4 linked regions of the Schizosaccharomyces pombe genome follow. Changing the gene in region 2 together with the main gene of any one other region gives a genetic interaction. Each region holds a gene or a part of one and is shown on either strand. Other genes may lie near its edges.

What was found.
Region 1: mutations in SPOM_SPAC212.04C (region 2) and ppk15 together harm fitness less than expected from each alone (positive genetic interaction), as found in Schizosaccharomyces pombe (one large-scale study listed by BioGRID).
Region 3: mutations in SPOM_SPAC212.04C (region 2) and nop16 together harm fitness more than expected from each alone (negative genetic interaction), as found in Schizosaccharomyces pombe (one large-scale study listed by BioGRID).
Region 4: mutations in SPOM_SPAC212.04C (region 2) and spf38 together harm fitness more than expected from each alone (negative genetic interaction), as found in Schizosaccharomyces pombe (one large-scale study listed by BioGRID).

The regions. Positions count from the first base shown.
Region 1 is NC_003424.3:2,583,221-2,587,980, reverse strand, and holds ppk15 (serine/threonine protein kinase Ppk15), read right to left. Parts: upstream 2,809-4,760; 5' UTR 2,227-2,808; coding exon 2,038-2,226; intron 1,991-2,037; coding exon 575-1,990; 3' UTR 507-574; downstream 1-506. Other genes in the region: tom6 (uncharacterized protein), read right to left, coding at 3,934-4,040, 4,079-4,118.
Region 2 is NC_003424.3:19,574-23,561, reverse strand, and holds SPOM_SPAC212.04C (uncharacterized protein), read right to left. Parts: upstream 1,976-3,988; coding exon 1,486-1,975; intron 1,431-1,485; coding exon 1,054-1,430; 3' UTR 512-1,053; downstream 1-511.
Region 3 is NC_003423.3:4,378,399-4,381,873, reverse strand, and holds nop16 (ribosome biogenesis protein Nop16), read right to left. Parts: upstream 1,458-3,475; 5' UTR 1,389-1,457; coding exon 1,243-1,388; intron 1,121-1,242; coding exon 637-1,120; 3' UTR 551-636; downstream 1-550. Other genes in the region: chr4 (SEL1/TPR repeat protein1, 3-beta-glucan synthase regulatory factor Chf3/Chr4), read left to right, coding at 1-234; trp1 (anthranilate synthase component II), read left to right, coding at 2,374-3,475. UniProt on the Schizosaccharomyces pombe protein: Involved in the biogenesis of the 60S ribosomal subunit.
Region 4 is NC_003423.3:4,402,676-4,406,417, reverse strand, and holds spf38 (U5 snRNP complex subunit Spf38), read right to left. Parts: upstream 1,989-3,742; 5' UTR 1,858-1,988; coding exon 1,813-1,857; exon of another isoform or gene 1,772-1,812; coding exon 1,667-1,771; exon of another isoform or gene 1,629-1,666; coding exon 1,556-1,628; exon of another isoform or gene 1,507-1,555; coding exon 1,247-1,506; intron 1,202-1,246; coding exon 958-1,201; intron 897-957; coding exon 601-896; 3' UTR 532-600; downstream 1-531. Other genes in the region: U1 snRNP-associated protein Usp109, read right to left, coding at 1-391, 431-447; adn2 (transcription factor), read left to right, coding at 3,571-3,742. UniProt on the Schizosaccharomyces pombe protein: Involved in mRNA splicing where it associates with cdc5 and the other cwf proteins as part of the spliceosome.

The sequences.
Region 1 (4,760 bases), 2.6 Mb from region 2:
CAATGTATCAAACGGAATCTCAGCTAACTCTTCAAATTTGTGAGTAAATATTAATTAAGAAAATAAAAGAATTTTTAACATACGACTTTTAGCTGTTTTTGATTCGTTGTTTGAGTCTTCATCGTCTTCTGAATCTTCATTATTAAAGTTTTCAAATTCTTCTTCTGAGACCAATTCTTCGTCGCTATCTAGATCATCTTCGTAAACACCCGCATTAGCAAGAGTCCCATTTTCAAGTGAACTTGATTTCATTTTGGCGATTTGTGAATGTCTACTACATAAAAGTATAAAACCTCTCTACATAGAGTATTTACCGTAGCGCTAAATATAGCGTTAAATTTGTAAATGCTTTATACTATTTACTATTGAAAACTGCATATTGAAGCCTCGAAGGAACTTTGAAAATATTCGTAGTATGTATATATCATCAAAAGTTTGAATGCTTTATGAAAATTGAAAACGTTTTACGAAAGCTATTAGAAAATTGGTACAACATAAAAAAAAAATTTGGAATGGATCATGCCTATTAAATATTTTAAATAAATTTGAATGTTTCTATACGTAAAATATGACATTAGAAAAATTCATCTACATTTTCGTTCTCATTAGCGGGAGGATAATATTGAGGCAGCGGTCGAGTATGTACAAATTCTTCAGGTTCGTTGGAAACATAAGTGCTTGCACGCTGTAAGGAAGGAGGAACCACCGCTTGATTTCCAATAGTATGAGAACGGTTCCTCGTTCTTTGAGTTGTAAGCAGTGGTTTTTGTTTGTCAATGCAGTATTGACTGAAAGAGGCACCTGTGATAAAAGGATGATTTTTCGCCTGGTCAGGAGTCCATCTCTTCAAAGGATTTAACTCTAAAAACTGCTTTATGAAATCGATGAAACAAAGTCTCTCTTCATGTTCTTCAGGAGTAAGCTTAGGTGTGGTTTTTCGGCGAGGATAATTTAAAACAATAGCATCGAGTGTCTTTTCACCAAAATATTGTTTTCCAGGTTGCTCTGTTTTGTTGTTTTCGATAGAAAACTGTTCGATCGATTTAAGCTCATAAGTTTTTCTACCGTTTACAAAACCAGAATTGTAATATTTCTTCGAATTTTTACCCATTTCTAACATCCAAGTGGGAGGATTACCAAGCATGTCAACAATCCGACATAATTGATTATATTCGGAATTTCCAGGGAACAAGGGAAGACCTAAGAATAGTTCAGCTAAAATGCATCCCAAAGACCACATATCAATTCCACAGTTATAATGTAGTCCTAAAATTACTTCCGGACTGCGATAGAATCGCGATTGAATATAGGTATAAACTGTTTGGCGTTCGTGACAAGCACTACCAAAATCTATCACTTTCACAATCGGTGATGATAAATCCTGCAACAGGATATTTTCCGGCTTTAGATCACAATGTATGATTCGAGCTTGTTTGAGGAGAGATGTGCACGATAGAAGTTGCGTTGCGAAAGAACGAACAAGACTTAAATGTAAACCACGGAACTGATTTTGCTTGATAAGCTCATAAAGATTAATACTGAGTAACTCAAAAACGAGACACAAATGATTTTTATGCATAAATTGATCATATAAACGAATTAAATGGCGCTTGTCTTCTGGATCGTACTTATTGTTAAGGAGCTCTAGTATAGAAACCTCCATCACACATTGGTTATAAAATGCCGGCTTATTTTTGATAACTTTAATAGCTACAATTTGTTGGGTTTTAAGATCTTGGCATCTAGCAACTTGACCAAATGTGCCATGCCCCAGGGTGTCGAGAATCAAATATTTACGGCCTTCATCCGTTCCTAGCAAATCGTTAACATACAATACATAATCATGATTGACGTTATCAAAACCATGGTTGTGAACTCCTTCACTGGGTTTGGTGAGTGGTCTCCGAGGGTTTTGTTCGGAAGAAAACTGGAATTTTGGATTACAAATTGAATATGTATCAGCTAGTTTCACAGTCATTGCTTCTAAGGGCTATATGTTTAATTAGTAAAATGCAGAGCAAGTAAAAAATTTCGTACGCTAATATAGCTTCCATGGGGAGACACCCTTCTGTAATTGTATTTCTTGGTTGCCGGTTTGACAGGAGCAAACAAAGTTGTTCCAGAAGACGAGACATGACGAGCATGATTATTACGCTGCGAGTGATCATGAGTCCTCGCAGCAGGAGGATTGTTCGATAATGGAAGAATGGGCGAATCCGAATCCATATGAATAGAGACGCCTTTTTGTAAAGTATTGCAAAGAATATATCAGTATAGGCAGAATACGAGTGCCTTCATTCACACTCGAATCACTTTAAAGTAACGTAAAATAGTGATCTCTTGGAACGTGAGTCGATGCACAACAGTGCAAAAAGGAACCACAAGTTATACTATTTACAAAGTAGTAGTTGACAGATTAACCAAAGGAATCTAAAAAAGAAGTGCTTTAAAGGAAAAAAGTCAAAGAGTTTGAAATGAACGCACCAACCGGCTAATCAATTTAATGGAACAACTGACAAAGAGCTAGTTTCGCTTACGATAATCTCGATCTGGAACAAAGGGAAACACTTGTGGATATGAAGCTTAAAATATGAATTTGGAGGAATCTTCTAATTTTCTTGTTTATAGCGTGTAGCTACAAATACAAATATAATATTCGGCAGAAAATCGAAAATATTCACTAAAATAAGCCGATAAATATGCACAGTGCGAGTTGAACGAATAACTAATCAACTCCACCGTATAAATTACAAATTTATACGAAAAACAACACTGAGAGATTTCGCAATTTATTGAAAGATGAAGGATTTAACCAAAAAAAGCGGCTTGGTTAAAGGATAGAGAGGAATCTGAAGGAAAGGGATGACGACACACCGCTTTGTAGTGAGCCGCGTGTAACGGCGCTGACGATGACTGAAATAAAGTACAATTGCTTGCTATGCCTTAATCAGTTTTACTGATTTTCAATCTATTACGTAATAGAGTGTATCAATGAATTAAAAGGCCGTCATTAAAACTTTGGCTTGCAAAAAAATACAAGAAAAAGTTACTAGAAGAGGATCTTTTGATTCTTATATTATTAAATAGTTGGATCTTAGATCCCAATTAAATAATTAAATATTGTTTCAGGTTTCCGTGACATGACTTAAGAAGGCGATAATTTCGCTTACATTAAGGTTCCTGCTCTTACTCTCCACAACGAAATCAATTCGTATTTGAAAAGACGAATGAATTTGGTGCAAAACATCCGTCTATACCAATAACCGCGATAAATAAGAAACAACTTCCATTGAAAGGCTTATTCGAAACATCAAGCGCAATGTTTACCAATAGTACGCATCCTTAATTCAGAATAGTAGCAATTTTTCGAAAAAACGGATATTCTCCATACTTAGTATATTTGGATGTTGCACAACCATGTAACCGGTTGGATATTAAAAGGAGGAAAAACGTTTCTTGTTTGGCATCTATCTGTAAATGAAGGAGTCGTTGTTAAAACATTCTCCACGCCGACTACATTCGTACATAAAAATTTTCGCATAAACGACAAACGAAATGGTTCCTAGTCCAATGTTCACACAAAAATCTGTAGTGAATGGACGAATATTGGTTATTGACTTCAAACATCTAAGGAAACATAAATAGACGCAAGATATCAGAATCGAACTAGCTTATATGTAAAAATGTTCCTACCAACTAATGCTCCTACGTACTTCGCATGACACTAGATAACATAAATATTTCAAATTTTAGATCGCTAACAAAAATTACAAAGCACAATGATATTCATGAAAGATATATGTTGTTTAGCTTTGAACCTTTATTGAAACTGGGAGTTCATTTTATTTATGAAACAACCATACAACGTTATGAAGTAATATTTTTCTGAATCCAAAGCTGAAGACGTTTAGTCCGTGAAATTCAAACATCCATTTACAATTGTGGTACCAAAAAGTTTCCCAGTCTGGATTTCAAGATGGCTACAGAAACTGCAAATACGCCAAGACTCACGAAAATGGAAGAGTTTTCCTTATTGACGACTAAAAGATGTTAAATTAATAGTTTTACAGGGACATACCCTTTTTGAAAATATCTTTTTGAGCAGAAATGCGATCCATTTTTGACTAAGTGGTTGAAGGAACGTGGCTAAATACCGACTTGTAACGTAATTTAACATGACTGTGATCGCTGCCATAAACAGTGATCAGGTAAAATGTATGGCTTCAATAACCCTAATTGATAACCCTAAGAGCTAGCTGTATGGATTTTGTTTTGCAGTAGAGGAAACATTCTATACTGCAATAGTTTTTTAAGACAAAACGCTTTATATTTAGTTTACTTGGTCTTACGAAATAATCAAGAGTAGCGCTGCGGAAACAAATTTTTTCCTTTAAAATTTTCCATAATCATTATCTTTTTTAGTATTTTTTCATTTTTTTTTCGGGGGAGGGGTTAGAATAATTTAATTCATTTTCTTAACAAATGTACATCTCAAGAGCATCAATATTTAGACAATTAAAACTTTCAATAAATAAACGATTATTTTTTTCGGATTATTAATTGCTAAGCAGATAATTGCTTGCGACAAGGAAGCAAAGTGAGTATACACTTGGTTAGATGGAAAATATAATCACTTCCTCATAATTAAATTGTTCAGCGTATTTCATTCATCAAAAGTAATTCTATAAACAACCTGACGCTGATTATGTACAGTTTTTGTCCCGCAACTGCGTTAATGATTTCTGAGTGTATTTGTGATA
Region 2 (3,988 bases):
TCTAGATTCTGTGTGAGTGCGACGCGAATATGGGTTTTTAGTAAACTAAACGAAATGAAATTGTGCCACGTTGGAGCATTTATACTCTACATACCTTGAGAAAAATGTTATTTCGTATAGTATGTTTATGTTGTATATAGAAACTTAGCAAGGACCCTGTCAATTTAACAAACTGTTATAAATAAAATATTTATCGAGAAAATAATGAAGCAAGTTTATTAAGATTTAGTGTATAGCGAATTAGCAGGAATTAGCTTTATTAAGAGTTGCGAGATCTTCCATATTTTAAAAAGTAATTCAAAAGCTAATATACTTAGTGTATAAACTTTATATATAATATTTCTTTGCTATTTTAATTGAATAAAGGAAAAAATGATATATACTGTTTTGCTTCTTACATCCTGTCATTATCTAATTTACAGTTCGTTCGAAACCCGGCAAAAAAATCCGTTGATTAATAAATAGCTATCGTCTGCTAAATAGGGGTTAAGAAGTAACAAATTGAAATTTCGTTTGCACGAGCGGAAAAAAGGAATATTATTTTTTTGTAGCAGCAGTATATTGTTGAAAAGCTAATCTAGTGAGGATGTCAATATAAAAACAGTGATTTTAGAAAGACTCTGAATAATTTAATTCTTTGCTACCAGAATTTAACTTGCAATTCAGAAATTTATTAAATTAATAAATAAGCGACTTATCAGTTTGCATATACTACATTGCATTTTTCAAGTTTCCAGACACATAACCTTAGAAACGAGTCATTCATGATGTATCATTAAGAATTCATTTTGTAAACGCAGTAAATGACATTCATAGTATTTGATTAAGCATAAAACGAGAGATAAAAACATTAGTAACATTATGTGATAATATCTTAATTAAAACCAATTAATAAATTTTGGTTAATGAAACACCTGTGAGGTGATTCTGGTTGGTTCCATAATTGAAATTCATAACGAACGCACCTTATGTGCATGATTTGGACAGGACAGTCAATTCGAACATTGTTAAGAATAGTTATATTCTATATGATCATGAAAACGATAAAGAAAATTATTTTTTCACAGGAGTAGGCATATTTTGTAGTTCTATTTGTTCAATATCAGAACCAACTGTTGCATCTGAATGTAATGCTGTTTCTCCGTTATGTGTAGGAAGAGTGTTAGAAACACAGACGTCTCCTGATGTCACAATTTTAAAGCCGAAAGCCAAAATTAAAATCTTGTAGACCAGCCAATGGCCGAAATATAAGATTCCAACCATAGCTGCTATAACTCCTGCTATTGTTGCAGTGATAATCACACTGAACGCTGCTATAACTCCTGCTATTGTTGCAGTGATAATCACACTGAACGCTGCTATAACCACACCGACCCATGCTATAACCATACTGATTAACGGTAGAGCTTTTATAATAAGCTTGGAGCAGTCTACAATAAACTATTAGTAAAGAGAAAAAACAGCTTCAGTGTGAAGGAAACGTACAGTTAAAAGCAGACAATAAGAGTATGAATAAGCCAACATAAATAACAATAGGCCCCCAAATTTCACTGTGGGACTGATTTTCACCTATCCATTCTAAATATGACTCTTTTATTTTAAATTTCTTGTCTATTGTTAAAATAGTGATAATAGACCAAATAATAAGCAAGACCCATCGAGATTTGTCCTGAGTAGAAATTCTTCCATTAGGATAATAGCTATTGTGGAATTTAGAAAATTCAGTAAAAAGGTCATTTAAAAACTCTTTTATTTTATTTGTTTTAATATTCATCTTGTCTTTTTGAGGCTTAATGGTGTTGGTAAAGAGGGATTGTCGGGATTGTCGAGATCGTTGAGATTGTTTGTTTACCTTTTCAGGCTTACACAAATCAAGTCCCTGCTCTAGGTCCACATTACAAACATCTTCCACCATAAATAACTCATTGTAACCAGGAGGTTCAACCTGTTTTTTCAAGCTTTCTGGATTTGACATTGGAATAGAACGACAGCACTGTAATTTGATGACTTCTGATTCACTAGTATTTTTCCCCAAAGTAAAATTAAAAAGAGTGGTTTATGGAAAATAAAAAAGAAAATATACTAAAATATTTTAAGCCATAAACGAGAAAATTAAAAAAAAAACCAAAATGGTGAATGTTTTACGTTCTGAGGTGTCTCATTTATTTAGGAAAAGCATTATGATGTTGGCATCTCGTAATCCTTACAACCTTTTTCTTTTCACAATTTAACAGCTACGCAGTTTGGTATCTGTTTAACGATACGTATAATAGCGGTGAGTTTCTTTTGCGACCTACAAACTAGTGGTATGCGGTATGTCTAACTAACAATTGTTATAATTATTGTTATAAGGAGTCTAATGGTATCGGTCACCGATATAGCTAAATAACTGAACTGAGGAACGATGTTCAGTTGTGTCTCTATTTATAGTATTGCAAACAATATAGACTTTAATAAATCATCATCGAGATCTATTTAATTGTTGTATCATCTATCATTGTATAATTTGAATCCTTAATTATGACATTGCTAAGGATGATTACATTCTATATGATCATGAAAACGATAAAGATTAATTTTTTCACAGGAGTAGGCATATTTTGTAATTCTATTTGTTGAATGTCAGAACCAACTGTTGCATCTGACTGTAATGCCGTTTTTCCATTATGTGTAGGAAGACTGTCAGAAGTAAGGACACCACCTCCCGATGGCTCAACTTTTAAACCGAAAGCCATAATTAAAATCTTGTAGACCCCAATGGCCGAGATATAAGATTCCAGCCAAGGATATAAACATGCAGCAAAATTTTATTTTCCTACATTTTCTATTTTGCTATTTTCATAAATGTTTATGTTAGCATAATTTAATTTTTAGTCTTCCTTTTTTTTTTGTTCTAGATGAACAATAAGGCATCTAGAACACCATTAGAACAGAAGCTTTTTAGTTTAGATTATTTTAGATCTTTTGAAAACTTTAAAAGAGTAAAATGTAAATAAAAAAAAAAAAAAAAAAAAAAGTTAAGTTATAATTTATCGAATTTTATGTTGTTTTATCTTAATTTACTTTGTTTTATTTTATTTTATTAAGTTTTAATATTTTTGTTAATTTTTTTTTGTTTTATTTTAATTTACTTTGATTAATTTTCATTTTATTTATTTAGTATATTTATTTATTTTCTATCAAAATAGCGAAACTTGTATAATATATTAATTCATTATTCATTATTCATTATTTTCATTATCTATAATATTTCAACTTCATATACTTTTCTATTTTTGTCGCTATATTCATTCTACAACATGACATATCACTCTTCTTTTTGTTTATTATTACTCAAACATTTTCTCTTCTAATTAACGAAATTTAATCTTTTTCTCTATTTGTTTCATTATTGTTTCATTATCTGTTACTACTTTATTCTCTACTTTATTTTTTTACTTTCAATAACAATAACAAAAGTTGTACTTTTCTCTATCGTATTCAATTCCTATTTGACATATTCATTGCCAGCTGATATATCACCAGTAATTGTAACGACTGTTTTTTCAATAATTTAGTTGATTTGTTTTAGTGGAATAGAATGCACTAATTTCATCATCTACTTTCCAATATTTTCATCTTCTATCTCTTTCTCTTTCTCTTTCTCTTCCTCTTCCTCTTTTCTATCTTTCTACTTGAAATTCCTTTTTCTAATTGACATTCCTTTTTCTTACTATTACTCCTCTTATTCATCACTATACGTCGTTCAGTTGGCTTTATCGTACCCTTAACTTTTTTTAACGAAGCTAATATTTATCAAAAACAAACATCTGTTTTCATCCTACATACACGTACTCTTTTACTGCCAGCTACTTTGCATTTTTTTTTATTTCGATTTACTAGAGTCACTTGTTTATTTTTCTATTTACATTCTCGCAATGTATTTGTATATCTCTATTTATATCACCATACTTTATTCTATCGATCTTACTCTATTCTATCTATCTTA
Region 3 (3,475 bases), on a different chromosome or scaffold from region 2:
ATTCAGGAGCCCGAACCAGAAAACATAACTTCATCACAATACCCAAATCAAGACGTTATAAAAGAAATACCTGTTACAGCCTCTGAAACTTCTCCACCGCACGCACCAGCTGTCTCATCTACCCCTGTTACTTCTGCGCCCCCTGTTTCGCAAACAAAAGTTACAAAGGTTTCGGTTCCCAAAAAGACATCTAAAAAGTTTCTTATAAAACATAACAAGTGTATTATATCTTAAGTTGGCAATTTTTGCTCCCTTAGAACATCATTTTTATCATTGGAATCGATTTCTCCCCGAAATTTCGTTTTAGTGTTCAATTGCATTCACATAGCATAATCCGGTTTTTATTTCTCTCATTTGTCCTCGAATTGTCTAACGCTCATTTATAATTGTATAGTTAGCTGATATCCATTTAAGCAATTTCTTTTAAATACATGTTTTCATTCACTACTTTTTCGATAGTATAATACAAAATTGGATCACGAAGAAATACATACTGTGTAATTATTGTTTCATACAAATTAGTCGTCTCAATATTTGCTTTCTAATAGAATTAATAGTATTGAAATAAAAATTTATTAATTTAAATATACCTAGAACACAATCACCATTTTACCGTCCGTATATCACCATTGATGTTTACTTTGTAGCCTTCATGCGAATATACAAATTTTTGAGCTTAGATCCGTTAAATAATTTAGAATTTAATTTAACGTCTTTGGCCATACTTTCAAAATCTTCAGTTCCGTACTTATTTATAAGTCTTTGAATATATGCATGTTCAAATGCACTTAAAGGAAGCATTTTGTTAGACTGTCGAGCTGCTTTTTTTACAGCTTCTTCTTCTAGTTGACGAACAACCTCCGTTTTAGCCGGTGCAATGCTAATTTCTTTGTCTAAAACATCATCAAGTGTTTTTGCCTCTCCGTGAATAATCTCAATAATATTTCCGTCATCATCTCTTCTAACAATTGCTTGACCAGGTGGTAAAGATTTTTTCAATTCATCCAATTCCTCTGAGGTAAGCTCACGATCCTCATTTTCACGTTTAGGATCAGGATAAAGCTTCTCAACACCTCCCGTAACATAATTAGGAGTAGCTAAAAGACCCAACCTCGCATAACTATTTATTTGTTAATAGCAATTCTATAAGAAAGAAAAGAACATAAGACCAAGAAGGAGCGCAAAACTTTTTCCTCAATTTTCATTTGTATAAAACAAATAAAGCAATACTTATTAACTTACTTCTGCCTTAAGGTTGCATGTTTATCCCAATTTTGTTGAATCACAAAATTTCCGTAAATTTTGGCCTTCGCCTTTTTGTTAGCATTACGCCTGGTTAAACGAGGCTTTCCAGATCTTTGCTTATTCCTTTGTCTAGGGTTTGCCATCTTATCTATTTAGAGATAAATGGGGGGAAATGGAAATTGGTAAGCAATCAAAAAAATTTGGTTGTTCGTGAGTTTAAGTGGAGGTGAATGTAGACTACGTGCAGTATGTCTACATAATATTTCAACGAAACACAATAAGATAGTTCTGTGACCTAGTTTAACAATGACTGTTGTCCATTTAATTTATATTTCTCAAATTAATAGACGTTGACAGTTATCACATTTATCATCAATCCTTTTGGTATTGTATAAAATTTAAGTACCCTCATCTTTTTTTTGTCTACATTATAAAGCTGTATGAATTGTGAAACGATATAATATTCTCATAGAGATTTCAATAAAATCTTGAAACAAAATTTATAAATTGATCTTCCTCAACGAATACACTAATTTTAGTGGCATTCCAATATCTAGCACTAACTGTAAATTTCTAAAAATTCCCAAGAATTGTTGAAGTCGAGAAATCATGTATTTTACGTGTCGAATTACCAGAGTAAACAACAGCTATAGGATACTTTTAAAATCACTGTTTAGTCATTTGGTTTACAACTTTATTATATTAACAGTTTTAAATGAACCGACAATTGAAACACCAATTTTTTAATTATTTTTTTATGCCTAATTAAAGATTATTTTTATGATTTCGTTATTCCCTAACCCCAGTATAAAAAAAATTTCGTTTTCTCCTCGTCAAACTTCTTCTTTACCTGCTAATTCTAGTACAATAGTACAACGATTGTTATCGTTATTTGCTAACGTTCATTATGCGATGATTTCTTAGTTGCAATGTCTTAAAACCAAATATATTTTTCGTTGCAGTTCGCAAAATACATTAGCAAGAAACATCGCTTCTATACTATCTTTCCCGATCATTCAAAAGTCGAAATTGTCATTTGCCATCATCGGCTACTTTTTCATTCAGCATTTTTGGTTTTGAGTTTTTGGAAAATTAACGTTAGCACGTCTCAATTATAACAAGCTGAAAATGTCTGAAAAAGTTGACGTTGGTGAAAGCGTCAAAGGAGACGCCTCAGAAAATGCAGTTAAAGAAGTTGCTGAAAGACCAATTGTTATGATAGATAATTATGACAGTTTCACCTGGAACGTTGTTCAATATCTTTCTAATCTGGAAAAACGATATCCTATTATGGTTTTTCGCAATGATGAAATCACTGTCGATGAATTAGAAAAACTTAATCCTTTAAAACTAGTTCTCTCACCTGGGCCTGGACATCCTGCGCGTGATGGTGGTATTTGTAACGAGGCTATTTCGAGATTTGCTGGAAAGATTCCTATACTTGGTGTGTGTATGGGACTTCAGTGTATTTTTGAGACAATGGGTGGTAAAGTTGATTCCGCTGGTGAAATCATACATGGAAAAGTTTCTAAAATAAATCACGACGGTCTCGGATTTTACCAAGGAATACCTCAAAATATTTCTGTAACAAGATATCATTCTCTTGCTGGAAAAATTTCATCACTTCCTGATTGTTTGGACGTTACAAGCTGGACCGAGAATGGTGTAATAATGGGTGCACGCCATAAAAAGTATGCTATTGAGGGTGTTCAATACCATCCTGAAAGTATCCTTAGTGAGTATGGCAAAGAGTATATTCAGAATTTTTTGAATCTCACTGCTGGAACCTGGGAAGAAAATGGCATTGTTATGCCTACAAAAAATAACGCATTTAACGCGGCTATGCGTGAAAATTCGAATTCTGTTTCTTCAACTAAAATTCGCAAACAAGAATCTATCCTTGAGAAAATCCACGCGCAGAGACTTATTGACATTGCTGAAAGTAAAAGAAAGCCTGGTCTTTCTGTGGGTGATTTGCAAACATATTTGAACCTTAACATAGCACCTCCATGTATAAATTTTTATGAGAGATTAAAGCAATCTAAACCAGCTTTAATGGCTGAAGTCAAACGTGCTTCCCCTTCTAAAGGTGACATTAAGTTAGACGCAAATGCTGCTATCCAAGCTCTTACTTATGCTCAGGTTGGCGCCTCAGTCATATCTGTGTTAACAGAACCAAAATGGTTCAAAGGCTCATTGAATGATTTGTTTGTTGCGCGAAAAGCTGTTG
Region 4 (3,742 bases), on a different chromosome or scaffold from region 2:
ACTTTCATTAGCTAACCATATGAAAGCAATGCTAGTTGAAGTCCCGTCAACACAACGTAGAACACGAGCAGAAATAAAGTTATAACGTTGAAACAAGTATTTTATATCATTTTCAGACACTTCTGGATCAATGTTACTAATGAAAAGCATATAGTAACTAGGTTTTTGCCATTCAGGAACCACATCTAAAGAGATCGGGTTCCCAGATATTAATCGTTGAGTAGATTGCCTTTCTAAAGCATTCCTAGCAGCATCTTGACTCTCAAATTCAATGCAGCAAGTTTTTAAAATAGCTCCCGACTCGCCATCTTCATAATAGTTTACTTTTCTAACATTTTCAAAAATTGCTCGAATATAGTCCTCATTCATCCATTCTTCTAAGTTATTTAACCTGTTTAATTAGAAATAAGATTAGATGATGTATCATTACCATAAAGATGTACTCATAACGCATATAATTTGATAATTAATCGAAATCTAAGAAACTTGTAGTTATAGGAATTATAACAGGCTTGACAACTAAGATCGTCAAATAATAAGTTCTACAGAAAATTTTAATAGTATTTAATGTTTATTGAAAAATTATTCATGAAATAAAAATTAATTCAATTCCCCAAGAAATATTGTTCGATCTGAGGAACATGAAAGAATGATGTCCTGATGTGGATGAAAGTCAACGTGATTTACTGAACCCTCATGTCCGGGTAATACATAACGTAAATCGCCTGTGGCTGACCAAACATATACGTTTTTATCAGAGCTACCAGCACCAACGAATCGTGAATTACGACTCCAGGCAACACCTAACAAATTATGCTCCTGTCCGTGAATAGCTCCTTCAAAAATTTGCAACTGTCGTTGAGCAGAAGCAAAAGGTTTTACATCAAATATTCGAACTATAAATTAAAATAGCATTAGTACAAAGGTTGATCAAACACCCAAAAAAAATTAGCATACCCGTGTTGTCCATAGAATTAGAAAGTAAGCTAGATCCATCTTTAGATATAGCCAAACTAGTAATGATATCTTTATGCCCTTTCAGAACATGCGAGCAGTGATTGTTTCGTAAATCCCAGATTTTAATAGCTCCGTCAATACCACCGATAAAAACTTGGGTTCCTTGCTGCGCTATTGCGACAGCCGTTAAGGGATATTTTTCTTCTATTGTTTTTATGCAGTCTTTTGACCGCGAGTCCCATACCTTAAATTTAGTAACTATTCCATATTTTAATAACAATATCCATACCTTCATAGTACAATCATCACTTACAGAAGTCAGAAGTTCGGAACCAACTTTTAAAACGTCTAAAGCATTCACCACGCCAGCGTGGCCTTTATGCTTCCGGATTTTTTGACCAGAGACAGCGTCCCAAGACATGAGGTGTGTATCGGAGGAAGAACAGTAAACTACGCGTGAATCCCTGCTCCACTGTAAATCAGTTATGGCTCCCTTGCAGCCATTTAATACTCCGTAGTTTTTAACGTCACCAAACACATTCCAAAGAACTAAACCACAGTTATTATAAATCAACATTTTAATTACAGCTGCACTTACGTATCTGTCTATCCATACCGCCAGAAGCAAAGTATGATCCAGAAGGATCGAACCTGGCGACTAAAACTTCAGCCTAAAGCGTTAGTATGATTTATTTCAATACAACCATACCGTATGCCCAAACATCTGTAGGTTTGGAACATTGAGATCAGATGTTCGTTGCAATACAGAACCCTCCGTTATTAAGCTAGAATCTTGGATTCTAATTCTTTTAACCTATTTATATTAGTGCATGTTTTTTTAGCAATCGAACATACTAAATGTCCATTAGTCGCACTCTCCGATTCCTTTCGTTTATCCATTTCCAGTTTACTATATATAATAACTGCAATTTCTGATTGACAGTTTTCAGAATTAGAACGTAAAATGAATAGCAGGGACGGGAGTGGAAAATATATAAAACGGATCGACAATCGTCGCAGGGGTTTCTGTCACAACCAAAATACCAATAAATCGGACTTTTCTTTGGTGTTCAAATAACGAGGAATGATGAGCTCATTCCTATAAACAGGACTTAAAGTAGAATTTATATGAACAACATTTTGATTACAGGCAAAATCCCTAAAAATTTACCCTTCTCATGGAAGCCATTTAAAATTCGTTTAAACAGTATAAATAAATTGTAAGAAATATCTATTCCGTATACTATATACAGACCTTGTTTGTGCTTGAGGAAAAACACTAGTATCAATTAATGTCTTATAATATTTAACGAGCGGCTTTAATATCTAGTCTATCTCGATTTTACCACCATCAAAAACACTTGAGAAGCATTTTGCCATTAGCTAAAGATGCGTAATCACATTTTTTTTGGGTATAGTTATTAACAAATTTTTCTACTTAAAAATTGTATGTACGGTTTTCTGGGCTGAATTGTCTATTCTAGTCGCCTCAAAAATTGAAATATAAACAACGAGATAATCACTGATTAGGTATAACCGCATACAAAATTTCATAAACTTTCTCCCGTCGAATATATTTGTACTTTAAGAAATTAATTTTTGATTAATATCAAAATCCATAATTCTACAGGGAATCTAGCATGGCAATAATAAAGGATTATCCAGTAGATAGTAGTTCTAAAGCCGGATTATAGCATTTGCAATGAAAGAGAGAAACTAAATTTTCTACTTGATAAAAAATGAATTATAGAAAACTAAAATGTGGAATATGTGAAACTAAACAAATTTACGCAAAGCTTCCAATCTTCATGTAAGTACTTTCTAAAAACTTGTAGTGCCAAAATTAAGCATCTTGCTTGATTTACTGAAAAACACAATTTGCAACTAGTTTTCGAATAGTGAACACATTCCAAAATCTTTACTACTAAAAGCATTTCTAACAACTTTAGAAAATGATAATATGAGTTCCAGTGCTTAGTATTTACATCGCTAACTTATGTAAAAAGCTGTAGATATGTATATTTTCCAAGGCAAGGTAAATAAAACAAGAATAATTGATACTATCTACATAATTACAGCATTCTTACAAAAAACTGCGGCTAATAGTATTCTTAATTCATTATGATGTTTTTACGGATGAAGAAATATCAATTTACATTTACTTTCTAAACCCACCTATCCCTTAATTCCACAGTTTTCAGTTAGTAAGTTTGCATATATAAAATCTGAAATTACCACTGGTTGATTCATTGAAAGTATATCATCTTAGAACCATATTTTAATATAGCCCATTTTAGATAATTCAAATCCGAATATATACATAATAACTATTATTAAAAATGTTTTTAGAGCATGACTTGCCTTGGAAAATAAGAAACCTCTATAGAGTTTTACTCTTCAAGGGTTTTGATTTACTCTGTAACTAAATTCAAACATAACATTTATGATTTTATGATTTTCAGTAATTGATAGAAAACTAAAATGAAAATATGATATACAAAATGTTGCGGTAGTATAGCGTGCGCAGATCTTTAAAATTATATATCGCCAGCGTGCATCGTTGTAGATCCATATTCTCGTTCGCAACACCTAACTTCTGCACATTTCTAGTTTATGGCTGATCCAGGTTTAAGGTCCGGCGTCGGATTGCCAAGCCAGCAAGGACAGAAACATGATTTACAAAAAGATCAAAAACAACCGCACGTAAATAATGCCGATAGGACCACACAATCCTTACTGAATTCGTACATATATGATTATTTAATCAAGAAGGATTATTGTGAGG